Alligator mississippiensis: one gene and its partner. The protein of the gene in region 1 purifies or fractionates together with the protein of each later gene. This does not show direct contact. Links are inferred from orthologs where the notes say so. Each region holds a gene or a part of one and is shown in the gene's direction. Other genes may lie near its edges.

Evidence for each region.
Region 2: the proteins of SATB1 (region 1) and TRIM47 purify together in Homo sapiens (affinity purification with mass spectrometry; 4 studies listed by BioGRID and IntAct, with this or other methods). This does not show direct contact. The link is inferred for Alligator mississippiensis from reciprocal best matches to the Homo sapiens genes SATB1 and TRIM47.

Annotation. Positions count from the first base shown.
Region 1 is NC_081828.1:151,598,239-151,613,264, forward strand, and holds the start of SATB1 (DNA-binding protein SATB1), read left to right. Parts: upstream 1-7,810; 5' UTR 7,811-8,236; coding exon of another isoform or gene 8,237-8,240; intron 8,241-8,454; exon of another isoform or gene 8,455-8,812; intron 8,813-15,026. UniProt on the Homo sapiens protein: Crucial silencing factor contributing to the initiation of X inactivation mediated by Xist RNA that occurs during embryogenesis and in lymphoma.
Region 2 is NC_081831.1:13,217,365-13,232,314, reverse strand, and holds the start of TRIM47 (E3 ubiquitin-protein ligase TRIM47), read left to right. Parts: upstream 1-7,747; 5' UTR 7,748-7,784; coding exon 7,785-8,411; intron 8,412-14,247; coding exon 14,248-14,343; intron 14,344-14,950. UniProt on the Homo sapiens protein: E3 ubiquitin-protein ligase that mediates the ubiquitination and proteasomal degradation of CYLD.

The DNA of each region.
Region 1 (15,026 bases):
TAATGTAGAGGTTTGCACCCCTATCATGTGTCTAGACAGCTCCCAGAAATGATATAGGTATCTGTATTATTGACAAGTATGGCAACAAAAGCCATTCTTGCTCTCAGGACTTTGTAAGTATGCTAGAGAAGCTGATATTCTAGTATTTCTTCTCCTCTCCCAAACATATTTTTGAAATTCTAGTGACACACCCAATGTCATCTAGTTACTTAATCAGAATCAAAATACATATGAGATAGGTATCACTTGCAAAACACAAACCTTTTTGTGCAAGCATTGTATAAGCCAAAATAGATGATTACTGAATGTACATAAATGTAAAGCTGGCATTTACTGCACATATCTTACATCTGTAAAGGTGTGGTGTTTGCTTGGTTTCTGTATTGATTTGATTTGTATTGTCACTGAAAGCAACAGGACATCTTAATGCAACCAAGACAGAGCAGACATGCAGAAGAGGAAAGAAAGAACAGTTGACAGTAAGAAGAGAGATTATACAAACAGAAATGCAACTTTTTGAATATGCAAACTGAAAGCAGGCTGAAGGAAAGAAAAAAAAAAATCAGGAAAAATAGAAAAAAAATGTTGGTACTTGTTGCAATTGCAGTAGGTTGATCTGCCCTCCTTTCTACACAGCAAATGAAAGGCTGTCTGCAGGGTAGGACTGACTTCCAAAGGTAACCAAAAGTATCTTCTGTAGTGATGTTGACTAGAAGGCAAGTATTGTTTAGAACAGTGGGGACCAACCTTTTTGTCCTGCAAAATTAGTCTTACATTCTCCTCAAGCGCCATTCTGATCCTTCTCCTGTCTGATCGTCTGCTTTGCTTTCACCTTCCATCCCTGTGCTCCCTGCTCAATTTGCTACTTTGCTTTCAACTTCCTACCCTATCTGCTGCTGTGCTGCCTGTCCCCTCCCTAATCTATTGCACTACACACAAAGGCTGCCCATTCTGCTTGCGGCACCTGTGCCACAGATTGACTACCCTGGTTTAGGAAGACTGTTGAAGGGACTGAGATGATTTGGAGGATCAGGGAGAAAAACATGGCCTTTCCAGAAAGGAACAATTAGGAGAGAAAGTCTGTTTGAAGGAATGACAACTGAACCTATTACTGAAGGTGCGTTAGGGATCTCAGTGAATGAACTTTCAGGAAGACATATCATAGATTCATAGATGTTAGGGTCGGAAGGGACTTCAATAGATCATCGAGTCCGACCCCCTGCATAAGCAGGAAAGAGTGCTGGGTCTAGATGACCCCAGCTAGATACTCATCTAACCTCCTCTTGAAGACCCCCAGGGTAGGGGAGAGCACTACCTCCCTTGGGAGCCTGTTCCAGACCTTGGCCACTCGAACTGTGAAGAAGTTCTTCCTAATGTCCAGTCTAAATCTGCTCTCTGCTAGCTTGTGGCCATTGTTTCTTGTAACCCCCGGGGGCGCCTTGGTGAATAAAACCTCACCAATTCCCTTCTGTGCCCCCGTGATGAACTTAAAGGCAGCCACAAGGTCGCCTCTCAACCTTCTCTTGCGGAGGCTGAAAAGGTCCAGTTTCTCTAGTCTCTCCTCGTAGGGCTTGGTCTGCAGGCCCTTGACCATACGAGTTGCCCTTCTCTGGACCCTCTCCAGGTTATCCGCATCCTTCTTGAAGTGTGGCGCCCAGAATTGCACGCAGTACTCCAACTGCAGTCTGACCAGCACCCTATACAGGGGAAGTATTACCTCCCTGGACCTATTCGTCATGCAATGACTGAGACTAACCTCCACCATCTTACTTCTAAAGATGGCATTAGATCTAGAACAATCAGCACAGAATGATGTAGGGTAGTCGAAGGACCACAGTGAGAGCAGTAATCTCCTTCAAAAGGAGTCATTTAAAATTTCCTTCTACAGATGTACTAGTGTAAAGAAAGAATCTGGAGGCTCAAACATTGAGTAGATAAGGATAAAACTGTCAAATAAACTTAAACTAAAATAGATAACCATTTTATGTGAAACCATACTTATGAAGCAGTGTGTGTGTGTGTGTGTGTGTGTGTGTGTGTGTTCAATCCTGATGGCAACTGGAAGGTTACAGTCTTCTCATGTCATGAAGCTACTAACACAGCTATGAGCAAGTCTTGGTACTGAACAGTATTTTGACTGCTTTAGCAGCGTTACAATGTGAATTGATTATAAAGGCTGTGAATTGATTATAAAGTTGCTTTTGGGTGTAAAGGGAAAAGGCCTGACATATGATGTTATTTTTGGTTTCTGGCTTGCTAAGTTTAGATCAACCGTAGTGAAAGCAACAAATCATAAAAACGATTAATTATTGTGAAATACATCTCATTGCTGTTGCTTTAGTCATATGCTCAGAGCCAGGAAAGAGCAAGATTCATACTAGGAACAAATTGCTTGGGAACAATTTAAGTAATTCAACATATTAACTTTATTAAGAGGTTTTGTCATTTAGAGAGACTTGTTTTGCGCTACTGTCGGGCAGAACATGAATCCAAGTTACACTTACAGATATTTAATCTAAGTCTAGGCAAAAATGTGGCCTTCTGTATCATCCAGAGTTCAGTATTATACCAACTTCACATACCTACTGAAGTACTGTGTTATCTTGTGAACAACTGCCCCTAAATAAGACATGCACCTTATTTTTAGAAGGCAGAATGCAGAAATTTTTTTTTTTTTTTCCAGGATCATGGCCAACTGTATGCCATAGATAGAGCAAGTCCTCCAGGGAAGAGTGTGTCCAGGAAGAGTAGCACCAGGAACTTTCTGGTGTAGCAGCTTGTCTCCTGCCATGCCACGCTTCCTAGACACTGTGGCTGCTTCCAGACATTAAAAAAAACAAAATAAAACAGCGCTTTATTTTAAAACTTGGCACTTTCCAGCTCATGCCCAGAAGAGACTGTACGTCCAACATCTGTATAGATTGGGTGCTTCAGCGGGGCCAAAAAGCCCTGCTGAAGCACCCAATCTACACAGACGTTGTGGAGCCAGGTTGTAGTAACACACTGCTTCCAGTAACATGTTTTTTTTCTGCTTTGGGATTTTTTTTTTTTTTAAACATCTGCCAGCAGCATACATTTCCAGAAGGACTTACTTTAGGTCACACAAAGTTAGGTCCCAGGCCCTTGCAAAAGGCAGTAGCAAGGCTATTACTTCTTTATGGTAAGTAGTTTGTTGGGTTTTTTAATAAGTTCCTATAAATAAAGTGTTCTTTCCACATCACGAGCCTCATTAAAATACTACCAGCAGCTCATTTGCTGCTTCAGGCACTAGCTACAGCTGTGAGAGGGTTAACACAAGACTCCACCCGTTCAGTTTGCCAAACACACAAACTGCAGCCATCTTGGCAGCTGCATGGCATGCAGTGTCTCTCCACGCAGGCTCCTTTTCCAGCAAAGGAAACAGCTCAGCTGCTTAAAACATGAGCCCCAATTTTAAGGGGCTGAGTTTGGGAGGAGGTGCATGTTGTATGTGAGAAAATATGGTACCTCTTCTGGCTCATTTGACTGTCTCATTTCACACCTCAGAGGCTGGGGAAGAAGTGGAGGTGCAGGGAGAGGACTGCATGAATGCGCATGCCCAGATTCGACTCTCATTTTCTCACCGGCTTTATTTATACGTGCATCTAAATACCTGACAGCAGCCTGTACACACTTAACTGAGGATCTACTGGTTTATCACATCTAAAATGGCATGCCTATATCTGTATGTCCTCAGATTTGTCATAAGAGAGTACTAAGACGGGGTACAGATTGACCTAAAGTACTTTGGCAAACGCATGCTATTATGAATTACCCCTTCTGAAAAATAGAATTAAAGAAAAATATTTTACGTTAAGTTCCTTCTGACTTCAATAATTTCTACTTAGTCTCCGTCAGATAGGTGATCAATAGGAAACTTTTTGAATACACATATTTATACACATCTTTCATGAAAAAAAATCCCATAACACTCAGGGGTATTGTGGACTTCTGACAGTCCCCAGAGAACTCTGAATCCATAAACTAATGAATGGATTACTATGATTCATAAGCCATTTTCATCTGTGACAGATAATCTTGCTCCAATACCATTAGTATTATTTAAACCAGAACTGCACCCCCTTTCCCTCAAATCAGCAGTTTCAAATTTCAAAAGATAAAATGTGGCTGTCAACATGAATAAACTGATAAATATATATGAACATCTGATTTGTGCTGTCTTGAAATTCCAGACTTCAGGGATGAGCAAGACAAGTAGAATATTCTGGTAGTTTTTGCAGGACACTTGGCAGGAGAACATTGGAAAATGGACACTAAAATTTCCTTTTGCAGCATGTATAAAAGCAACATGTCAGTGAAATGAAAGTTATATCGTACACCTGCTTTTTAGGCATGCCATCTGTGCTCTGTCATATCATAATATAGCAGTGTAATGGCACAGCCTCGATGACATGCCACAGATAAAGAGAATGCAACGTACCTCTTGCTCCATTGATGTGAATGACAAGACTCTGTAAAGGTTGCTGCCTAATATTGCAAAGAATAATATTCAAATATATTATATAGTGTTAGTCTTCTGTTTTTCATTATTTACCATATTATAAATATCATAATATCTTCAGCATCAGATGATTAGGTTGCTTCTGAAGGATCTCTAACCTGCTATACAGGTCAAATTAGTACATACCTCTTACAGACCACAGGATGATTTTGCAAACCTATTTGTACTAAAGTTATACTCAAGCTGACAATCTAACCATTACATTTTATTGGTCCATATGTCTGTCATGATAATAGAAATTGTTTAGGATAATTCAAGGGTTCACATAACCTGTTCTGCTGATCCAAAGAGTTTCAAATGTTAAAAATTTCAACATTTCTTGCAAACCAACAGGCATCCTTTTCAACCTTTTAATTAAAGCTGAACAGCAGTTCAATCCTTGTACCAGTTACTTATCTTGGCCTACAAACCACCAGTCATCTGCAGACCACATTTTGGGAACCACTGCAATAATTAACAAAAAGTTCAGTTTGAAATGATGATATGAAAGATAATCTTTCAGAACAAATCCTAGTAAGCATCAGATACTGCTTTTCCCACCTCATTTTTTTTTTGTCAAGCAAGAGAATCACCATCTCAGTGGTTCTCAAGCTTTTTAGACTCAAAGTACCCCTCAGAAAAATGTCAGCTCTTAGTTTTCGCTCCGTTTTGTGACTAGAAAAATAATACAGCAATTCTTCTGCTACAAAGAACTTGGAGCAGAACAGCTCCCATTGGATTCCTATTTGCAATCCTGAGGTTTATCTTGTGAATTATGTTTGCGCCTAACAAAGCTAAAGCTGCAGGGTTCCCCACAGCACCCTTGAAAGGATTTCACAGCACGCCTGTGGAAAATCATTGCATTAATCCTTTCTGTATGTTGAAGACACCTAGAATGAAAAGTACTTAAAATCTTACACAAAAAGTAAGGTAACAATGATCTTCTGACATGTTCATCTGCAAGTGCTTTCACAGCTATATGTAGCCAAGATATACTTGGACATACCTGCTCATGAAAGTGAAAACATCTTGGAGCAAGTCTTTACCATTACAGCAGAGATGTAAATGTTGGTAAGTGATTTCTTGTTTCAAAAGCAAACTGTCTGACTGCAGAGTTGGGGGTCTGTTGCAAAAGCCACCCAGTTTAACTTTACATAGTTATCAATATCGTGTACAAGGACACAAGCTCTAAAGATCCTCGTTTTCACACACACACACACACACACACACCTCTGTTACTAAAATAACAAGAAAATGTGTATATCACAACTCTCTCTTAAGATAATGCTCAGGAGGAAATCAAATCTAAACTGGGAATCAGTCAACTCCTCAATTCTAATCTCTGCATCTGACTCAATCTATGGCCGCAGACAAATAGTTTACGCTTTCTGTTCCACTTTTTCACGTGCATTTGGTGGATAGGTCAACGGGAAGTTACATGGATTCATTATTTGATTACCAGTATTCTGAAGACATGAAACGCTATCATCATTTGGATCCTCTGACAGTGGTTAACATAAGTGAAGGAGATGTTTAATAAAGAGAAAATGTGCCACACATGGAGCGCTTATCGGACAATCATCTCCAAGAAGCATCTGAATGAGTCTGTAGAAGTGCAAAAATGCTCTCTGCTTTGGCTCTCTTTATATTATCCTGTAATGTAACAAAAGATTTCAAAAGCCAAATTTCCAAGGTAAAAAACAGGGGGGGGGAACAGATCTTGCATTTAAGGTGAAGATAAGGGGATAACTTCAGCCCTTGTTTATGTCCTATATGAATGGGAATCTCCAATAGTCACTACGAGATGCTGGCAAGGTCAATTTTATTAATTATTACTACTATTGTGTAATCTTTGGGCTCCGTGTTCTCTCCCGATTAATGATTATTTACTAATGGTGTTACAAGCTTACAGCTTCTCCTAGCAATAAGCAAGACGGGTAACAGGTCAGTGTAGTAGGGACTTGTTAAGGAAAGATACCTCTGTGTAAACACGATGGTCTCTGTCATTTTGGAGACTTTCCCTATGCCCGAAGAAGGGCGTTTGTGCCCAAAAGCATGCCAAGAGCAATTTCTCTTTAGTTGGTCTAATAAAAGATTGCGCATCTACCCAAAGACCCTTGTCTGCCTATTTCAGAGATGGCATAGTTCTGTTCGTTTCTGAGCTGAAAGATCAAATTGTTAACCAAGTAAAAATAAAGGAAGCGAGTAGATTTGAGGGTCAGAGTCCCCCAGCATGCTCTTTTCACAAGCTTCTAGAGTAAAAGAGACATGTTTCAGCTTTCAGGAAAGCCAGTATTCACTGCCAGCTTCACTTTCCGGGAACTTGACTTACAAACGGTGCATCAGCTAAGAAAGGAAGGAAGGTGGTGGGGGAAGAAAAGTCTCTCTCCAGGCAGCAGTTGCATGGATGAGAGCATTCAGGCACCAAAAGTTATTTCAGGGCACTCTGTGCAAGCTCAAACACCACTTAAGAGATGGGGAGAATGAAAAGTGGCTTCTAAAAAATACTGAAAAATTGCTTCAGCGGGCTTAGAGTTGCAGGGGTACAGCTCGTGGCAAGAGCCTAACAAGTGAAATCTTTGCAAGGAGAGGAAAAAAACCAAACAAACCCCCAAAACAACAAAACCCACGAGCAAGCAAACAGAAACACAATCCGAGACCCATGCCCCCGCCCCCAAAGGAAGCAGGGGGCTACCAGCTGTCGGGTTCATCCACGCGGGTCTGCGAGCCTTCCCCGGGCGGCTGCTTCCCGCACAAGTTTCCCGGCCCCGGCCCGGATCCTCCCAGTATCGATAACCTTTGTCATGGCCCTTTCGGAGCCTGTTCCGCTCGCTCCTCCCGCCCGGGGTTGGGAGGGGGGAAGCAGCTGACAGCCGAGCATGTGGTGGATAAATATTGAAAGAAAGTGCGCCGGAGGGAGGGAGAAAGTGCCGCGGAAGGGGGGGAGCAGAGAGAAGCGGCGGGGCTGGGGCGCTGCTGGGAGCGAGCAGGGCGGGAAGGGAAGGGAAGGGAAGGGAAGGGGGAATAATAGCATGAAACCCCACCGCCACCAGCCCAACAACAACAGTGATTAGCTCCTACCCACCTCGCCGGGGCTGGGAGGGGATTGTGTGTGTCTCTCACCTGACTTCCTACTTCACGGGGAGGGAGGGGGGGAGAGGCAGAGCCGCGCACACCCGCCGCTCTCCCCAAGTCAGCCCCCAAAACACGCCGGGCAGGAAGCCGGCGGGAGGGGACAGACAGACAGACAGACAGACGGGCGGGCGGGAGGGCACCAACCGTCCTGCTGCTGCTGCTCCGGCCGAGCCCGGCTCTGGCTGCGGCCGCGCGCCGAGGGAGGAGAGCGGCGGCGGCGGCGGCGGCGGCTCCGGCTCCGGCTCCAGCGCAGGCAACCTCCGCCAGGGGGAGAGGCGAGGCGAGGCGAGGCGCTGAGCCCCCCGCGCCCGGGGCTCCCGGCCCCCCGCCCCGGGGCCGCATCCAGCCGGGCCGCCGCCGGCTCCTCCTGCGCGGCGGGCGGTGTAGCAGCGGGGGCGGGCGGGCGCGTGCGGCTCCCCCCCTTCCTCCTCCTCCCTCCCCCACACCCCCCCCGCTCGCCTTCCTTTAAACGCCCACTGCGGATGGGTGCGAAGCCAACTTGAACTTCAGTGCAATTAAGTTCGCCGGCGCCCGGGAAGCCGACGGTGTCGCCCAGCCTGGCCCGCGCTGCGCTGCGCTCCCATGAGTGAGTGGCCCTTGCCGGGGCCGGGGCCGGGGGTATCCCGCACCTGCCGGGCCGGAGGCGCCGGGCCGGGGGGAAGCGCGACTTGCCTCCAAAGTTTGGCAAAGTTGTCGGGGAGGGCTCGGGCCGGGCAGCGGGGTGGTCCCGGGGCAGCCGTCAATTTGCCGCCGGCGGCCCCGTGGCAAAGCCTCCTTCTAGCATCCCTCGTCCTCCGGCTGCCCTGCGCCGCGGGGGATTTTTTTTGTGTTTTTTCTTTGCCCCTCCTAAAATATATATTACAAAAGGAGCTGGCGATGCTTTGTTCCCACCGGCCGCTTTGGGAGCGAAGCCTTTGCTCAGTGGCCGGGGGGGAGGTCCTGCCCGGTGCCTCCCAAGTTGTCCCAGCTTGGCCCCTGCGAGTGCTGGGGGAGAGCCTTGGACCGCCGCAAACTTGGCTTGACGCGTTGGCCCCCAGCTCGTCAGTGGCAAGGAGTGACGAGGGGGTGGGGGCAAGAATGAGCAGTCAGCTGCATTCAGTCCATCTGCTGGGAAAGGGATCCACCACAGTTTGAGATCCCAGGACTCTCAAGGTGCAGGTAGGTGGGAGAGGAGCAGCCCTGCTTTAGGCTGCTCCATATGACAAGGGGGGGTGACTTTTTTTTTAGCAGCGGTTCTTTCCACTTTCTGTTCTTTGGGTCTAGGCAGGTTCATCGACTTGTCTGCTCCAGGCTGCTGGCAAACATTCGCGTGCAAGCTTACATTTAAAAAAAATTTTTTTTGACAAATGTGCAGACAGGACTAGCAGGAATAGGCATCTGAAATATTAAACAACCTAAGCATCTGTTGTGAAACAAATTTAATGTATTTACTCTGTTTTCTTTCTCGCGTTGTAGGGAAAGGTTACAAGAAGCGTAAAAATTGAAACCAGAGTTGAAGGGAATGGGTTGCATGTTTCAGGATCTCCTTAAGGGTTTCACACAGTCACCAGAGATAAAGGTGTTAACTCAGACGCCTTATTTCAAAACACAACTTGAAACAGGCTGCGTTCAGTGCGAAGGCAGGAATATAGTATAGCGCCTATCATTTGTATCATACTGTTACTATTACTCCACTGTGTTCGTGTGGATGAGGTTATTTGTATGACAGTCCTAAATTGCTATACACAGTTGTATTTTTTTAATGTTAACATATCTCTGTAGTTCTTATTCTTATTAGTTTGCTTACCAAGTGGAGGCAACGTCTCATTATCTATTGGCTATGACTATATAAGTAAAAAGCAAGCAACAAGATAACGCCTGCATGCAGGTTTATAACATATAACAAACAGCATGCATATGGATATAAAATAAGGTGATGTAACAAAAATAAAATCATTGTCTACGCTTGTACCCACTCCTGAATACATTAGCTAATGAAAGAGAAATCACTGACTCCAAGGAATTCCTCTTTGCCCTGTAATAAGAGTAGTCTAAGTTAAAGAAGAACACAGAAGCATAAAGTCTCCAGAAAGCCTGTATAGTTATTTTGGGAATCAATGCATTCCTTCTCTTTTTCCCACAAGTTCAAATATGTAATAAATAATAGTTCTTTGTATGCAAAATGAGTTTACTGAGGCAAAAATATTTAAATGGAATGCATGTTGTCCATACACTTTTAAGAAGTAACAGTTCCTTTCTATATTCTTTGTTATTGATTTTTAAATAGCAAAGTAACTATCTAAAAGAGTTTCCCCAGCTCTTCTCTTGTCATTTTAGCTTCTAAAACAAGTCCTTAAATACTGCTTTTTTCTGAGACAGACGTATGAAACAGGTGAAGTAAGCCTGTGATTCCATGACAGCACATAGTGCTTTGCAAGAATAGGGAAAACGGAGAATCTGCCAAATCAGCCAAAGCATGTATTTGAATGTGATGTAGAAATCATTTTGGTCTGACAGATCATGGTTTGCAGTGTAGGCCCTGGAGGTCAGCTGACAAACACCTGTCCTTATTATTATAGAGATCTTTTGGTTACAGATAGTATTAAACTAAAGACAGTGTGCTCTCTTCAAAGCACCATAGTGATTCTCTAATGTAAACTCCCAAGTGGGATGTAGGCAGGTGCACCTCTTCAAACCAGAGAAGTGTCCGTCTTCTGTGCAGTTAAACCTTGAATAACCACTAACTTCTGTTACGTTACTGTTTCAGTTGGAAAAGGGTTTGAAATCATATGACTTCGGTTCATTCCATCTTGAATTAATATCCAGTATTCTTCAAAAAAAAAAAAAAAATTTAACTATATGAACTAGTTGTTTCTTAAAAATATCCTGTTGACCCAGTTTCTTAACTGAAAACAATAAGATTTAACTCACAGTCCTCCTTAGGCACTTTAGTTATATTTGGAGAATTAGTCAAAGAGGTTACTGTGTTTTAATAAAACTAATATAAAAATATAAAGATCATCTTCTGAATCTGCACTAAAGAAAAAACTATAATTGAAGGTATACTTTTGAATAAAAAATCACAAAAAAGTGATTTTCCCCTCCCCCCCAAATTTTTTTTTCATCCTGTTTCTAGGGACGATGCTAGATACTGCTAGCACAGATACTACTGCAGCATTTTATCACCCTCTTGTGCATACCTGGCATTGCTCTCTCTATATTTAATAAATATCCACTGGAACCACAACTTTCCATCTAGAACAGTTTTAAACATAACTAGAGCATTTTACTTCCTTATAATTTACGTTAATAGATGACGAGTGTATGTACAATCTCCTTAGAAATCATTTTTTTTCCAAAGGGGATATTTTATTTTCAGTTGGGAACTAGATTATAAGAACAAAATAACTCAAAGCATAGGCAATTCTATATATCATTTTATTTTTTATTATATTATGACGATTGTATGATGCCTTCATTAAGAGCAATGGGATGAAGAAATTACAGACAAGCGGGTGTGTTTTACTTGAAACATTTAAAGTTTAGGGATGCTAAAATGAATGTTTTTGGTAAGGTGGTTTGATTATCTAGTATTTTTCATAGAATTTTGGCAAACTAATTTTAATAGAAAAGTGCAAATCATTTAGTATGGGAGGACATATTTTTCAGGTAGAATGGAAGTTCTGTTTTTGCCATTATGGGCATCAGGCATCAGTAATCTGCTTCTCTTGTGGAATGAACACTTCCTACTTAAAGCTATCATGCACCTACTGTTTATTTACGCTGCATTAAACTGACAGCACGGCAATCACAGGAAAAATATTACTTACTTTCCTGAAGTAAATACCAGTTTATAGGTTAGTACATGTATTTATATTCCTGTCGCCACTAAATAATGGCTCTGTCTCCATTTTAATATCTACCTGTGGTGTTATCCAGGGCAGCTGACTCCCGTGTTTGGGGAAGGGGGGGGAAAAAGTTTTATTATCATGCCACACAAAGAGTAACTTTAAAGAAAGATGATTCCATATTCATTTTTGTGGCAGGCAGAAGCCAGCATTAAAGAAACGGCATTTAGTTTTACTGGGCATATTTAAGTTTAAATAGTGAAAATATATTTCCTTAAGAGGATATGCCTCCCCAAGCCACTTAAATTGTATATTCAGACAACAGCAGATAAGGGCAGAAGAATTTTATTAATAACTGAAAGCACATATGTGTGTGTGATGAAAAATGTGTTGAAAATCTGTCACTATATAGTCTAGTATATTTTTTTTTAAACTTTGCCATGAAGTTGCTATAGTTTATCAAAAAAACCCCAACCTGACACAAATGTATCTGTTTGACTGTTGAACAACTATAGTGCTTATTGCCTTGTTATACTTAAACGTTGTAAGTTTTACAAAGCTACTTGCCACTTACGTTATTTTTTAATCTTTGCTTCATTGCCTGTCTGATGATAGTTTTAGTGAAAATGGCTCATTGTTTGAAAAGAGCATAATGGCATTCTCTATCAGACCATTTTGATTATGTTCTTTGATAATGAGGCCAACTTTTTTTTTCATTTACCAAAATGGTTAGATCATATGTCCATTTCCATAAGAATGGTACTAGCAAGATTAATTCCCACCAACATGACCACAGTCTGTAATTGTCATAACAAAGAGGGCAGTGGTCGCTTCTGAAAAAAAAAATGTAGGGGGTTTCCAACATTTACCATCCTGTGGTATGCAAGATTACCACAGTTATCACTATTACTTCGGTCCTTGATCAGTATCGGTTTGCTGTTTGGCAGGTGTTGACTTTCTAATGGCTTCTACAACATACTGCCTTCTGTGTGTGCAGATCTCAACATCCATAGCTGAAGCTATCCACAAAGGTTAAGTGTCCATGTAGAATATCTGAATTTAGATCAATTATAGAAGTAATTCACTTCAGAATTCATATAGTATTATAACATGTCACTTGTTATTGAGTGTTTTGAATGATACATATTTCTCTTTAAACTTGGTGGGCCTGACTCTTCCCTCTAGCATACTGATGAAATAAGGAGTAATTGTATTAAAGTCAATGAAGCCACATTTATGTAGAGCAGGTAAGAGATCAACATTGGGTCTTCATAAGGGGTGAATGAGATACAAACACACATTACTTAGTGCTTTTGAACTTCTGCCAATTATACCTTTTTTGCTTATTTGAGATCTCTTTTTCCATTCCTGAGTAAATAGCATAACATTTTTTTAGTATGCAGGCCTATTTATTTTCCTTCTGTTGTTCTATAATACCTTACCTTTGATAACACAGTTTTATATAACTGTAGGTTCATAAAATAACCCATCTTCACCTGTGTCAATGATTTTCTTTCATGAACTGCAGTTCATTTAGACAGTGTGATCTGATTGTTTGCAAAAGTGGACCTGGAGGCACCAGAAATATTCTGTCGGAAAGATGGTAGTATGTGCTTCATGCACCAGCTGAGTTGGACCGTTACAGCTCCCAGCTGCTGCCTGCTCCACCTCTTTCCCTTAGCTTATTATAAAATGACCTGAGGAATAGAAGATGCTTTAAATCCAGAATGCATCTCATCCTCTCAGCATCAGGATGTTGCTCTGGCAGCAAGAACTTGGCCAGCAGCGTTTGTGTGTAATTCCTCTTGTTATTCACTGTAGCAGTAGTGACACATCTAACCACAGGGACTGTCTTAAGGATAACTCCTTAATCCTCTCCTAGTACTTAAGAGTACCAGAATGAGGGCCAGACCTTATTCCACCAATTAGACATCTAAGAAGCACTTACACGTTTTAGGCAATCCTGTGCCATCCTGCCAAAGTCCCTGAAAAGATACTTTTGTAAGGTGTAGCCTGAAGACTAAGTCGCAAAAAGCAATGAGGACCCATCCACCCCTTATGTTAACAATTTTTCAGGGACTAGAGCAGGGTGGAATAGAATTGTGCTTAGAACCTGCATGGATAGAATAGTCTGGCCCTGAATTCTGTTCCCAACTCTGGCACTGACCAAAAGCATTACCTTGGGCAAGTCACTATAGCAACATATTCAACATGCCTTTACACAATGCGCACAGAATACGATTTTCGTAAGTGCTGAGTCTTCACAAATCCAGTTGAAATCATGGAAGACAAAGCTGCTTAACATCTCAAGTCAGATGTATACTGAAGTCCTGTTCTTCCTATCTGCAAAACAGATATAATAGTACCTACTCATCTCTTAGGGATGTCGTGAGGTTTAATTCATTTCTTTATTTTTGCAAAGGACTCTGAAATCCTTGAATGAAAATGCTATACTGTAAAAATGCAAATTAGTAGCGGTAGTCTGGAAATAAAGGCAAATGAAATTTCAACCCAAGTATACAATTATAATCAAAATTTAAATAAGATTTTTTTTATAGTGAACAGCCAAAAGTTTGTCTTTCTTTCTGTTTTTGACTGTGAAATTTTTTATTTATTTATTTATCGTAGTTGAGTCTCCTTGTTGAGTGTAAAAGGTCCTAGGGACAATTAAAAGCATCTTAAAAGTTGAAAAATGATAGTTTTAGCTTTTAAGGATTCATTGTATCACAATAATACTGCATGCTTATTAGTGTTACTTGTACGCTAGACATTTAATTACAGTCTTTGTGAGACATGTTATCTGTGTATTAACCATCACATAAAAAGAATGATATATTCTCTTACATACAAGCTCTTGCTTGCCAGTCCTCTTTTTTAAGATTATAGATTCAGGTCTGTAATCCAGAGTTTTCACATCTTTAGTTAGATCAGCTCAATTTCCTACATTTTTTTTCTGTAGGAACAAGGCATTTGCTGTAAAGATTTTTCTATTTCAAGTTGATTGCTTTTTTACAGTAGTACTTAAATTGTCATCTGTCACATGGAAACACATCCAATATGTCTCTGTCAATTCAAATTAAATGACCTTTAAGGACAAGTTTAGAAGTTTTTTTTTTTAAACATTTTTTCTGTTGCATGTATAGTAAGTGTCAGAAAGTAATCTATTTGTATAGTGTAGTGGGGCTTTTTTCTGCATACATAACTTGACATTAGGGGGACATTTGGAACCTTCCTTTCCATAAATAATATTAGTGTCTAAAATATATTCTGTATCATAAATACAAATGTGATTAGTGATTTGGACTACAAACTACTATACGAAGGTGACCATGTTTGTAAGCAAGATAACATACGGACTTACAGCCAGATTTTCCCTCAACTGTGTGGGCAAGTACCACTTACGATGATCCTGAAATGTTAAATGTTCCATAAACGTAACTCTTATTACTGTCAGTGTTTTGCACTGAGGTCACTTACAGGATCAGGTACAATGAAAACTGTACATGATTATCTGAGGCAACAGTTGAGAATATTGATATGATCTT
Region 2 (14,950 bases), on another chromosome or scaffold:
GGCGTTAAGGGAAGATGCAGCAGGCGGCTGGGGGTGGTTAAAAAGCAAAACTGGCAGCATGAAGCATTTATTATTCACAGGCCTTACTTGGTTTCAGTTAAAATGGGCAAATTGGCAACAGCCAGATGGCAGCAAACAAGAGGCAGCGCTTTCTGTGTGGGTGAGTCAGTGTGTACAGGATTGATTAGAAGGTCTTAGATTAACTTGTATTCGTGTACACGCGCCGTGGCCCCTTGGTCTTCCGGACTGGCTGTGGTCATGGCTCAAATTGGAAGTGATAGCGACAATCTTTTAGAAGCACGGAAATGGCTTTCTGGAGCTCAATATCAGCCAAGCCACTGATGTGAAAGAAAGTTAAGGTTTCAGAAATCAGCAGTTTGCTTCCAACTGGATGTCTTGGACCCTTCCAGTCATGCACGTTCTTCCAACCAACATGTCATTGTTCCTGCTTCTGCACCTAACTTTCACAACCTCTCTCCTGATAAGTAACCTTCCTTCTAGGTGTTCTGATGAGACCAAAGGAAGAGAACGGTAAAAAATGTTGTCACCAGTGAAGTTGTGCCACTTGTGTCTGTAGCTGTAGCCATGGCTTTGAATTCTAGCCACCTGAATCTACAAAGGAGGAAACTGAACATTGGTGCTCTGACAGATCCTTCCAAATTGCTGGTAATCAATTAGTTCACCTTTTGTTATACACAAACACACACACAAGAGCAATCAATGAGTTCGTCTTGGTTACAGACACACATGCACTTTAGTTAATCTGTAAGGCCCCTGCTACATGTCACATACGTTATGCAATTAGCTAGTTAATCATGCAATAAACTTAGGCCACAAGTGCAAAGTAATTATCACACAATTAACTGATTAATTAATTAATACATTTAGACCAGCCACATGTGCCAACTAATCACATCCATAACAAGAGCCAACCAGCTATGAAGTTAGTGCTTGAAAATTTCATAGATTTCATAAATTCATAGACATTCGGGCTGGAAAGGACCTTGGAAGATCATCGTGTCCAGGCCACTGGCCCAGGGGCGGGAAGCCAGCTGGGGTCATAGGATCCCAGCAAGAAAAACACCCAAATTTCTCTTGAAGGCGTTCAATGTAGGTGCTTGAACCACCTCTGGCAGCAGGCCATTCCAGACCTTGGGGTCTCAGATAGTAAAGAAGTTCTTCCTTATGTCCAGCCTGAAACAGTCTTGCAGGAGTTTATAACCATTCAACCTTGTCATTCCTTGGGGCACTCTGGTGAACAAACATTCCCCCAGATCCTGGTGAGCACCCCTGATAAACTTATAGGTGGCCACCAGATCACCCCTGAGGTTGCGGTCTTCCAGGCTGAAGAGTCCCAGGGCTCTCAGCCTCTCATCATAAGGTCTGTTTTCCTGACCTCTGATCATGTGCGTGGCTCTCCTTTGCACTCTCTCAAGCTTCTCTACTTCCTTTTTGAATTGTGGAGCCCAAAACTGGACGCAGTACTCCAGATGTGGCCTCACCAAGGCTGAGTACAATGGGCAAATGACGTCCTGGGATTTGCTTGAGAAGCATCTATGGATGCAAGCCAGCATTTTGCTCGTTTTACTAGCTGCAGCATCACATTGAAGGCTCATGTTCATCTTGTGGTCAATCCTGACCCCCAAGTCCCTAGTGCTAGTCAACGTAGCACTGCTGAGCCTGTAGACATGCTGCAGGTTTTCCTCCCAAGGTGGACTTGCATTTTTCAGTGTTGAACACCATCAGGTTCTCATCCGCCCATTTCATGAGCCTGTCAAGGTCAGCCTGGATCACCCTTCTGTCCTCAGGTGTGGATGCTTTACCCCAGAGTTTGGTATCATCAGCGAACTTGGCCAGTCCGCTTCTGACTCCAATGTCCACATCATTAATAAAGAGGTTGAACAAAATAGGTCCAAGGACAGAGCCTTGAGGGACCCCACTGGTCACAGGCAACATGATGATTGACTTCTGTCAACCACCACCCTCGGGGTCTGACCACAACTGGCGTAGCCCGAGACAGGAGGATCGAAGAAAACACCACCTACGCCCCCAACCCCTTAAGCCCTGCTCCCAAATCCCTGTAGCACCTCATGACCCGGCTGGGAGCACTCCTAACTGTGTCATTGGTGCCCACATGGATGAGGAGCATAGGCTAGTGGTCAGTGAGCTGGAGGAGTTTTGGGGATCTTCTCCGCAATGTCTCGGATATGGGCTCCCAGGAAGCAGCAGACTTCCCAGGCCAAGGGGTCGGGGCAGCAGATTGCCCCCTCCGCCCCCTCAGGATGGAGTGCTGTGTAACAGCTCTAGAGCTGGTTTCTAGCCAGCTTTAATTTGAACATGCGGCAGGGCCCTAAGGAGCAAATCTACCCTGCCTTCTGTTTGAGGGCTAAGCCAGCGCCCACAAACTGCAATGCTGTTCCTTTGGACAGTGAGGGAAGAAGTGTTGGGAGAAATGTTCAGCTTTCTGTTTGTTCATGCCCACTTTCAAATGGGGAACGTGTAAAACCAGATTAGCTTCCCTATTCCACATCAGCTGATTCTGCTTGTTGCTTCTGCTGCAACTTGTTTCTCGCTGGAGAGTTTGCATGAGCCGAGAATGGTGATCTGAGTGTCCTAGCAGATCAGAATAGCAGCTGCCCTGTGAGGAAAGACTTAGGAATTAGACTAAGCCAAGATCAGGCAATGAATAAAGACAGTCAGCACTAAATTAGTTATCTGACAGAGCACAGGCAAGCTGGTTTGGAAAGGCTTTTTAATTTGATCAGGCTGCAGGGAACAGAAATAATTTTCCTGTGCCCTATTCATCCCACAATGGGAAGCGTTTTAAATACATGGAGTTCCTTGGAAAAGGTGACCTTGTGTTACAGGAACCCCTCCAGTGAAGTACCTCAAAGGGAAATCATGAGCGGTACCTGAGCAAAATATCCAAAACATTATTTTTTTTTTAATTCTTGGGCATGTGACCAAGAAGGGAATTATTTCTGCCTCAGACGCTGCCAAGTGCTATTCTGTTATACTTGACTTTGCCCCAGGCAGCAATAAACAAGAGCAGATGACAACTATTGTTTCTGCAGGTGACAGGACTGAGGCAAAAGAAGGCAGTGTTTTATCAAGGAATATTTCACTGATTTTTTTACATGAATGGTTCTCCTAGTGCTTCAGGGATGTATGTGGTACCCGTGTTGGTGTGAGACAAAAAGAAATGTAAAAATCTAGAACTCTTGGTTCCAAAATGATACCTTGTCTTAGACCAACTGAGAAATTGCAAAAAATATATCTTTTTCTGCAAGCTTTCAGGCTCATGCATCCTTCATCAGGCTCAGGGAAAGCTCAAGATAGTCAAAAGTCCGCACATGTAGGAAATAAACTTCATTTCTGCGCAGAGGAAGCAGAAGTTGGACAACTGTCCCTCTGGGTCCACGAGAGTCTCTTTGTGAGCTTGCTCTTTGTTATTTAGATCAAGCAGGATTTCTTCCCTGGTGGTGTCAAATGGCAGGCAGGGAGGTGTAGAAATCGTTCTTGTTGTTCAGCAATGAAGTTTATAATCCAAAATCGGCTAAAATTTTGCATCTTCCATGTTTCAAGGATGTATGTGCTGGCATGTATCTCCTCAAATAGTTAAAAGAAATTAAAATCTCAGTGATTTTACTGGTCCAGACTATACAACGGGTTGCATATGAAAGGCAAACATGGGGGAGTTCAGAAGAGATTTGGGGACCTTAACAAGAGAGTGTTTTGTGTCCCATGCAACACATGTCGTTCAAATCCTGTGTTCAGTGATACCTCGAATTCTTGCATTGGTGCTGTGATGTTTTTCAACATGTTGCAAAGCACTGATACTTCTTTGCAGCTGTTTCAAAGAGACGGGATGTGATGTGCCAAGCTGTGACTAATCTATGGGCAAAGCCCTTCAGTGAAACAAAATGGAAAAGCCAACTTGATGCAACCTGTGTATTACAGCACAAAGCTTTGACAGTCGGTGACATTTTTGTTTCAGTCTCAAGTCAACCCTAAGGGAACCTACAGGAACCAAAATCCAAAGGGGTCGATGCTAAATGCCTCAATTCTCAAAATCTGCAGCTGTTGATTCTTGCATACTGTGGTTGTGCATGAGTTACTTTATGAAGTCAACATCTCAAGTAAAGTGTGTATTGAATAAACTAGGCCTCTAAAAGCTTTGAAGGGATTTTCATGTAAACAAGCATTCTGATAATGGATTTACAAGTGTCCTGGGCTGGTCAGAGGGAAGTGACCAATGACCTGAACATGGGAGTCAATTTCCCACGAGAAAAACAACTTAACCACAAAGCAAGAAGAGGTTTGCTTAAGAGCCGATGCAGCCCTTAACTACTCCAGGAAAGAACCAAGTCAGCGTTTTCCACTACATTTCGGATGCCGCTATGCAGTCTTTTGGGGGAAAAAATGAGGAACCTCGTAATTTGTCCAAGTTTTCATATGAAGCATAACCCTTCTGCTAAGCACCTGTCAGCAGCAACAAGGACCAGGTTCAGTTTTGGGGGTACTGAACATATTTTACTTTGGCTCGAGCCCCTGCTCAATGTACCTGGGAAACACTAAATGAATCACTAGGGTGTCCAATAAAACCAACAGCCTTTCTCTCACAAGCAGTATGAACACAAACCCCATGATTTATTACAAACACCAGAACACAACATGCAGTCAAGTAAAACAAAAACACTGTCCTGGTTCAAACTAGACCCTGTATCACCCCTACCCCTATTGGGGAGCCTTCGACCCCAGGCTCAGCAGTCCGAGAGTAGGGGAGTCTCAACGCAAAAGAGGTTAGTCCCTGGGAATTTGGGTGCATCATCTCCCTCGCCGTCACTGTCCGCTGGGGTCACTAGTTCCCTCTGTGATGGGAAGGGCTCTTCGGTGAGATTTTTTTTTTTTTAAAGGAAAATTTTTCGTGTTCCAAGTCAAATCAGCCAAATCAATTCCAAATCCATGAGTCATTCAAGAACCGAATGTGGCCCTACTATCAGCAAACATCCTCCACCCCCATCTGGGGCTTCAGATGCTTCTAAATCCTTTGGCAGGCATCCTATTTGCAGGACCAAGCCCAGAAGTTTGGGGTTCGGATGCTCCCGAGTTTGGCTTGCCCTTGGCCGTATTCCCGCAGAAGCAAGCTAAGGAGTCTCCCATTTCCATAAAGTCAGCGTGTAGCTGAGATCCTCCCACTAGAAGCTGGCCAGTGGGAAGCTAACTCTGAGGCTCTCGTAGGGAGCCCTGTCCGCAAGCAGACAAGGCTGCAACCCTCCACTACTCAATGCCATTTTAATTGCATGACTTTGGTCAGGGTAGTGAACTGATATAGCTCCACTGAGCTAAAAGAGAGAGAGCCCTCCAGCCGAGGTGGCCTGAACCTTAAATCGTTTTTCTGACCTCATCACAGGGCCCCAATCAAGAAGCAGCCTCTTTCGCACACTGCTAATGAAGACCAATCAATTCAAGGGGGGTCACCACTCCAGGATTTGGCCAGTCACTAAACTGGTTTTATAGGTTCGGTTGAGAAATATTAAAGCAATGCTCTGGGGTGGTGGGGTGGGGTTGGGAGGTGGTCCTCTCCAGTCCTAGAGGAGACACAATATACAACAATCACACAGAAAACATGATCATGCTTTACAGCTGAACAAGAGACACAGTGACATGAAATGCTTTACAACACAAAATGACTTTGTACATTTTGGGTGTGCTATATTAGTATCAAAGATGCAAAGCATTAGAAATGCCATCCTCTGCCATAAGATGAAGCATGTTTTGCATTCAAAAGCTTGTCTAATTCCAGCCCACCTGGTCTAATAAAAGCCATCACCCTAAGAAATCCTTGCCTCTTCCAGAGTTCTTGGACCCTCACAGCTATACCATCACCCTAATGCCACCATAAATGTTCTTGGCAGCTAAAATGTTGAACTTGCTCAAAACCCATCTGAGTTTCTGGGAAAAAAGTAAGCTTTTGTCCTTTCTTTTTTGCTTTCTTTACATTCAGGAGTATGTTAGCATTGCCCGTATCCGATTCCAGGGAAGAACAAAGTTTTTCAAGCATGTGAAGACATATTTGTGTTGTGTAGTGGCTCATTCTCAAACAGCTGGCAGGTTTTGCTTTTACAGGTTTCCCTCGCTTTATGCAGGTTCTGTATGTGCGAATTCACTGTTATGCAATGACCCTTTTCATACCAAAAATTCATTATATGCAAGGCAAATTCATTCTTATGTGGTTGGTGTAGTGGAAGTCCGCAGTCAGCTGAGAGCCACGAAGCTGCCCAACAGCAGCGCCCCTGGCCACCACTCAGGGCAGCTGGTGCCTGTGCTTCTGGAGCTGCAGCTGCCTTGGGAGTGGCGTGATGCCATGTGTGTCCTACCACCAGGCAGGCAGGGGGGCGCAGCCCAGTGGTGCTGTTCCTGGGGCAGCTGGGCACAAAGCACAGTACACAGCAGCAACCGCCTCTGCCAGGCTGCAATCCCAGCTGCATGCACGCCCTTCCCCACCCCTTCTGCAGCCACCTGGAGCCTGCAGCCCCGTGTTTGGAGGGGCTGAGTCCCCTTCACCCCAGCCATCCTGTGCTTACGTGCAGTCTGCTGTTGGTGAGTACCAAAACTGTCTTGTAAAAGTGGTAGAAATGGGTCTGGGGGTCAGTATGTTCGAGGTCTTGGGACGTATCCCTATTTGTCACATTGTACAGTGGGGTCCCTTTATGCGAATTTGAGTTATGCGCCGTTTTCCATGAACACATCTACATCATAAAGCAAGTGACATCTGTATATGGGAGTTGAAGTCCTGACTGTGGACAGTATTGATCTAAGAGATGTCATCCATGTTTTCCTGTCTGCTGAAAGTAAGAACAGCCACATTCACTGAAGGTGGTGGCTGCTAGTCCCAGATCTTTGGGATAATGAAACTTGAAGGGGACTGGTTGCATTGGTTGATTTTCAAATTCTTCATCTTGTTTCACCCTTGCAACTATTGGTGGTAGAGAATCAGGGGCATTTGTTTTCAATCGGTGGCCTTCAACCTCTTTAGACTCAGGGCTCCCTTTGGGTCATACCCGCTCTGAGCTCCCACTTGCTTTCAGGACTAGGGAGCCACACTGGAGCAATGTTTCTGTTACAAAGTCCTCAGGAAGCCCCTGCCAGCGCCCAACATTTCTAGATGCTCTGGAGCCCCGTCAGGGTTTACCTTGTGAATGGCACTGCAGAAACAGCGCTAATATTGTGCGACACCCTTAAAAGCATCTTCTGGCACCCGGCTGAGCGTGGCTGGGCTCAGCAAACTCTTGGAGCGCGCTCTCGCAATCAGGAGGGTCTCCTGCCTCCCCCGGGAAGCAGCCCTGCCTTCAGCCTGCCAACAGAGCATCTGGTTGTTTTTATAATGTGCAGATCGACCCTGCCTTCAGCCTGCTTGTCGGGGGGAGCAGGAATCTCTCCTGATATAACTCCCCAAGAGGCTGCTTAGCTCAGCCATGTCTACACCCTCCTCCCCAGGCTAGAGGGATGTGTGCGGACACATTCCCACCTCCCACCAGGGTGCAAGGATGTGTGTGGACTGGACACACCCCACCCCCCAGGCTAGAGGGATGTGTGCGGACACCCTGCCCCGGCTAGAGGGCTGTGTGGACACCCCGCCCCGGCCGGGAGGAGGTGAGTCCCGCGCGGAGGTGCCTGCTCTTTCCAGAAGGGAGGGGAGGGGAGGGGAGGGGAGGCGCCGCCCTTGCTCAGCCCGGCCCCCGATCCCGGCGCGGGCGGGCGGGCGGGCGGCAGGAGGCGGCATGGAGGGCGGCGGCCCCCCTAGCCCGGCCGACGGCCCGTTCGCCTGCCCCATCTGCCTGGAGGCGCTGCGGGACCCGGTGACGCTGCCGTGCGGACACAACTTCTGCCTGCGCTGCCTGGGCGCGCACCGCGACGGGCCGGCGCCGGGCGCCCCGCGCTGCCCGCTCTGCCAGGAGCCCTTCCCGGCCGGGCTGCGGCTCCGCAAGAACCACGCGCTGAGCGAGCTGCTGCAGCTGCGCCGCCCCATGGCGCCGGGGCCCGAGCCCGAGGCGGAGCCCGAGCCCGAGCCCGGGGCCGGGGCCGGGGCGCAGGCGGACGCCGAGGGCCCGGTGCTGTGCGACGTGTGCCCGGCGGGGCAGGCGGCGGCGGCGGCGCGGTCGTGCCTGGTGTGCCTGGCCTCCTTCTGCGCCGAGCACCTGCAGCCGCACCGCGCCAGCGCCGCCTTCCGCGCGCACCGCCTCGCGCCGCCGCTGCGCCGCCTCGAGGAGCGGCTCTGCCGCCGCCACCTGCGGCCCCTCGACGCCTACTGCCGCGCCTGCCCCGCCTGCGTCTGCCCGCTCTGCCGCGCCCAGGACCACCGCGCCCACGACGTCGTGCCCCTCGAGCAGGAGCGCGACCTCCAGGAGGTAGCGGGGGGCCCGGGTGGACGAGCTGGGGTCCGGCGAGCCCTGGGACGCAGGAGCTGGGAGCCAGGGGTCTGGAGGGACGGGTTGAGCTGCACCTGGAGAGCCAGGGTTTGGGGATCCTGGCAGAGCTGGCACAGGGAGCCCTGGGATGGAGGATTGGGGCTGGGAACCAGGGATTTGGAGGGACAGTTTGAGCTATTCCTGGAGAGCCGGGATCTGGGGGTTTTGCAGAGCTGGTGTGGGGAAGCAGGGGCTGGGAGCCTGGATTCAGAGGGACAGGTCAGGCTGAGCATGGAGATCCAGGGTCGTTGGCAGAGCTAGGGTGGGGATCCCTGGGCTTGGGGGATCACCAGAGCTGTGGGGAGCCAGGGGACTGGGAACTGGGATCCAGGGATCTGGAGGGACAGGTTGAGCTGCACCTGGAGAGCTGGGATCTGGGGATATCAGCAGAGCTGGCCTGGGATGGAGGGGCTGGGAGCTGGGATTGAGGGGATCTGGAGGGGGAGCCCTCCTGAGTAGGGGAGGTAGGGAGCTGGGATCCAGAAGGACAGGTCAAGCTGCTTGTGGAGATCCAGGATCTAGGGGTATGGGCAGAGCCGGCGTGGGGAGCAGGGGCTGGGAGCCAGGGAATCTGCAGAGCTGATGTGGGAAGCTCTGGGCTGGGGGAAGCAGGGTGCTGAGAGCCAAGATCTCGGGTGTCTGTAGAGTTGGCATGGGGAGCCCTGGGCTGAGGGGAGCTGGGAGCCTGGGGATCAGCAGAGCTGGCTTGGGGAGCCCAGGGCAGGGCAGGACTTGCAAGCTGAGATCAGAGGACTGGGTTGAGCTGCGGGTGGAGAACAGTCCCAAGCTGGAATGGCAGAGGGGCTGCCGGAGGATTGCGGGGCAGTGGCAGAGCCGCGTGTTCAGAACAACCTTGTTGTGTGGGGGGCCAGGGCTGAGTGGCGTCTCAGAGATGTAGGCGGGGAATAACCCCAGGGTGGAAGGGCAGAGGGGCTGTGTGTTGGCACTGAGGAGCATGGGCAAGGTCGTGTGTAGGTGAGCTGCAGCTGTGGGGAGAGGCTGAAATGCATTTGCAAAGCAGTGTGTCCTGACATCCCAGCACTGGAGCTCAGTTCTGGATTTGAGGGGAAAGGATGCTGTGGGTGGGGATGGAGGGATATTCATAGAACAGCCTTTAGGTGATTCCAGCACTGAAACAGCATCTGGGATCAGACAGCGGGTCAGGAAGGAGACGGCAGAGGAGCTGGGAGGTGGCATAATCAGAATATCAGTGACGCTGCTGGAGCAGCCTTGAAGAACAGTCTGCAGGAAGCCGAAGGGCTGGAATATCCACTGAGTTTAAAAAAAGACTGGGTGGGCTGGTTGATTCCTTCAGTTTAGGATCAAAGTCTGGCCCCTTGTGCTTCATGGAATTAAAGTACCCAGCCCTGGTAACCCGCAGTGTTACACTGTAGGCAGTTCAGCATGTAGGTGAGACTCTTTCAACAGCCAAGGGAGGACTTTGCCTTCAGGGGAAAAAAGTGTGTCTAAATCCCAGAACAGGCTGCGCTTGTTAACTTGAAAACAGGGCTCTGTCCTGCACAGTCTTTTGGCTCCACACCCAGTGAGGGGAAAAGGCCGCGTTCCAAAATTCAGGGGCAGAGAAGTTTTAAATTAAGAATAACAACCATTTCACCGGGCTACTGCCCTCGATTCCTCAGGAGCTGCCAGACACTTACATGTGCAAGAGATGTGGAGCAGGGGCTTGGGGAGGAGGCAAACTGGGGAGATCCCTGTTTCTTCTGGAGATCCCAAGCCAGATCCATCCCTGGCATCACTCCCGTGCCTTGGCTGGGAGGAATTTTGTCCCTGCACGGCTCTTTCTCAGGTCCTTTATTTCCTTTGGCTCTGCTACTGGATTCCGTTCCTTGCTCTGTTACGCTTTTGTGTTCTGTCAGCCGGGGCTTTTTCCGTCACTCCCATTCCCAGATGCGGCTGAGTCATCTTCCAAATTTTCACTCAAGCTGGGCCTGAGCTCTCAGTCTCAGTCTGGCTTCTTGGCAGCGGTGAGGAGAGTCCCTGATGTCAGAGAGAGGTAGTTAGCTTGTGACCAAGTTAGTCTCTACATGCTGCCCTGTCTGATGTTGGAGAAGGGCAGAATTGAACCGGTGGGCGGGCAGGTGCCCTCTGTTGGCTAGAATCAAAAGTGTCTAGCAAAGATCTTTTATTGCTAATGCTTAATGGAGAGTCTCCTGCAAGAGTGTGAATTTTGTCCTGGACACCAGAGGAAGAGAATTGGCTTTTGCAACAGTTGTTAGGGTGGCAGGGATTTGGTTTAGTATAGCAGGGAGGCGTTAATTGGAATTATTCATTGTACTGCAGCAACATGTAGCAAGCATTCTCATGGACCAGCTCCCCATTGTCCTAAGCTCCATGCAGCTGCAGAGTAAGTGTAGCCCCTGCCCCAAGGAGCCTACAATTCAAGTCTAACTCCTATTTCAGTGGGTTCTTCAGCCACTGTCCTGTTATGGAGAAGTCTTTCTGCCTTGATTATCCATGGCTGAGTGCTTCCAGCATGATTTGCACTGGTAGGCAGTTGATAAAGTCCAGACACAATTCACTATCTTACATAATGGAAGCAGCTTTCTGTTACTGAACTCGAGGACAATATATGAGCAGCTTTTAGTTCAAAGAGCCAGGAGTTGGCAGATGGATCATAACTAGGCTCTGCCCTGTTACCCAGTGCTGAGGTATAGGTAGGTTTTTTCAAGCCAGTGGCTTTCAGTCTTCTCATGGGGGTTGCTCCTTAGTGGGCCCTGCATTGCTCAAGTATCCCCCTCTCTTTCATGCATCAGCACATAGTATTTTACATATGTTTCCCTTTTGTTCCAATCAGGACCCTTTATGTTATATCCAGTTATTTTCTGACCACGTTTACTGATTAAACAGCATCCAGAAGCAGCTTGACAGTTCCTTATTTTGGAAACTATCCATTTCTGTACAGCTTCAGTGAGATTTTCTCCCTTATTATAACTTTTGCAAGTCAAATAGGATCATGGAGAAGTAGGGCTGGAAGGGACTTCCAGAGCCCATCTAGTCCAGCCCCCCGCCAGAAGCTAAGATCACCTCTATCCAATCCATGCCATACCAATCCAATGTCCAACCTATTAGTAAAACTCTATGCATTACCATTGAGGTATCAAAGGGCTTTGCAAAACAACAGCAGCTGTTTCATGCAAGCCTAGATCTTAGCGCCTGTTCTGAATGCCAAGTAACTATGAGGATCCCATTCAGCTTAGCATAACCACCACTTTAATGGTACATGTTCTCATGTGTTTTCCCTACGCAAGTCTAATTTATAAGTAACCACATAGCACGCTTCAGAACACAGTTTAGTTTACATGAGCCTTAATTGCTCGTTACCCAACAGCAGTGGAAAGAACATTAAAAAAAGGAGAGTCCAAGAAGCTGTCAGTTGTAGGCAGACTATACACTTCCCACGGGACCTAGCATGTGTAGGCAGGCTGCTTGGAGTTGCTGTCTACTGGATGATGTTGGCCCTTGGATGTTAATGTAGTTACTCACTGTGAATGGCCTTAGAGCATGGGATAGGAGGCCTGATATTGCCAAGGTGTGGCTTTCGCCTCTGCTCAGAGCTCCAGAGGGTTAGTCAGAGACAGCACCATGCACTGGAGGATGGGGGCGGTGGCAGGGCCGGCTCATGGACATAGAAGTGGCAGCCAGCAGCTGAGATGTCCTTAAACAGTCTGGAGCATTGTACACGTTCATGTCGGCCACCCTTCCTCTCCCTCCCAAAGGGTTCTGCAGCCTCCCCAGATAAGATCTCTCCAAAGTTCTGATTTCCTTGCTTCTTCGGCTGCTGGCACACACAACGCTGTTGATGTGGTCTGGTTGGCGGCTGGCTTTTTCCTTGAAGTGCTCTTTCTGTGCTGCTTTCGATATGTTCAGTGGTTATGCAAACCCTCAAAAAACTGTTCACATGGAGCTGAGGTTGCTATATGGCAGAAACCCAGGCTGCTTCCACCTCTCCAGCAAGGCAGAGCATCCTTCTCTAAGCTTCAGCCCTCTGATTGCAGGAAACATGGAGTTAACTTCCTCTCTGCCATTCACTTAATGGAGCATCACCCTGACAACTCGATGCACAGAGCTAACTTTAGAATGGCAGGAAGTGCAGAAAGAGGATGGTGCTTCTGATGTGGCGCACACACATGCTTAGATGCATGTGTTTTGCAGTGAAGATAATGCTATTTTAAGGAGCAACGAGAGGCTTTCTTCTACATTGGTTGGGAGCGATCAAGAATGACACGTGCCAGCTCTCAAAGGGTGTCTAAAGCATGTGGCGTTGGCATATGGCTGCAACACTTGTTCTGTATTTAACAGAAGTCTTGCATTTGATTTCCAGGTGTTGTTTAAATGGAAGGATGTTAAAGGTGCAAGGAAGATGGGGGCAGTAGGACTCTTGATAGCTAGAAGCTGAATGACAACCCCCCCGGCAGGTCTTAGCAATCCTGTCTGATCCAGAAGCCATGGCAACACTTTCAGTCTTTCTTCTGTCCCTTCTACACTTTCTCCTGTCCCATGACCGTCTTTCCTTCAGGTCCCACCATATATCCCTTCTCACCCATTGTGGGGCACCAATACCAAGTCCTAGAGGAGGAGGACATGGGTAATGTAGGTGAGGTGCAAGAAGAGACGGCTGTTAAAGGAGTTGCCTGTGCCTTTCCATCTCTTGTTTTCGCCTCCTGTCGACTCTGCTGCTGCTTCTAGTCTGACAGGGGAAGGAGGTGCATGTTGTGTGTGGTTGGCACAGAGCTAATTGTATTGCTCGTGCTTAATGGAGAGTCTCCCGCAAGAGTGTGAATTTTGTTCCTGCTGTTGTCCTGGACACCAGAGGAAGAGAATTGGCTTTTGTAACAGTTGTTAGTGTGGCAAGGATTTGGTCTGGTGTAGTAGGGAGGCCTTAATTGGAATTATTAGTTGTATTGTGGCGACATCATGCTACCCTGCCCACTCCAACAGCCTCCACCCAGTTATTGCCACTTCCAGAGCAATCCTGTTTCACCTCCCCTATAAGTGTCCTTCTCCTCCCAGCTCCCTGGTGATGGGCCTGGCAGGTCATCTCCCTCAGCCAGTGAACATAGGAGTGCAATGGAACATCACTTGGTGTTTTCCAAGCAGTGAGTCAGTGCTTGTTCAGAGCCCTTCTCGGCAGTGAAAATGCCCTCACTGGCTAGTGAGCAGTGGCTAGGAGTGGACATAAGGTGTGAACGGTGCAGCTGGTTACCTGTTAGCCTGTGAAAAGGCTCCTTCCAATCAGGCAAACCCCTTGGTATGCCAGGCTTAGACTGCCTTGCCACAGTGTTAGTTCCCACACATGGTTGCAAAAATGAAGCCCAGATAGCTTCCTTGTGTCCCAGCAGAGCCCCAGTCCCATAGACAGTCTCTAGCACAGGCTGCAAGTCCATGGGTGTCTTCAGCATAGCTGCTGTTTGAGTTAGAAATGAGCAAGAAAGGGCTAAGCTCCTGCAGGATTTGGGGAGGCCATTGCTTCAGAATCCTCCCACTCAATTTGTCTGAAACTTCGTAGGAAACTTTTCCCTTAGCCTCAGAGGCATCCTCCCTATTTTTCAGCCTGGTAGATTTTGATTTATAGAATTTAGAGGGAGGGTGAGGAGCAAGGGTTAAAATGAAAACAGAGTTGTAAGCTGAAATCTGGAGGATGCCTGTGGATCCCTGCAGACAATCTCTCTCAGAGGGCATGGGTCCCAAACATGCTTTCAGGTGTGACAGCTAATGGACCTGTCAGTAGTTCTGTTTTCCTCCTTTCTCTTGAAAGGCCCAGCGACCAAAAATCCTGAGCGATGTAGAGAATCAGCTGGATGAGCTGGGAGTCGTCATTGCACAGGCTAGGAAGACTGTGGAACTCATCAAGGTAAGAGGACCTTGCCTCAGGGGTAAAGCTGAACTTGAAAGATCTGCTCCTGTCCACCTCCCCTCTGAACTTCATCCTACAAGCACCCTCTGCTATTGGAAATAGGCAGGTCAGAGGTTGTCTTCAGGACACAGCACAACTCCCTAGTACCAGAGGTGTTTTTTTCATAGACATTAGGGCTGGAAGGGACCTCATGAAATCATTGGGTCCAGCCCAAGGGGCAGGAGGTCAGATCACCGCATCCAAGCATTTCTTAAAGGTATCCAGAGCAGGTGCTTGCACCGCTTCTGGGTGGAATCTATTCCAGACTCTGGAGACTTTGACGGTAAAGAAGTTTTTCCTTATGTCCAGATCAAAAGAGCTCAAGTACTTTGGAACTGTGGTGATGATCACCCTAAATATCTGACTCCCCAATATCCATCTGATAGTGAGCGGCCTAACATGATGCATGGTCTCCAATCCTGGACAGTGCTTATATAGGAGTGGAGAAAAGCCACTCTGTGAATGAGGGCATCAGTCATTAGCTGATGCAAAGATGTCCCTCCCAGGAGGTTTGCTGTTAGGGGTGGTTCCCAGAGCAGTGTTGTTCACAATTCCAGCCCTACAT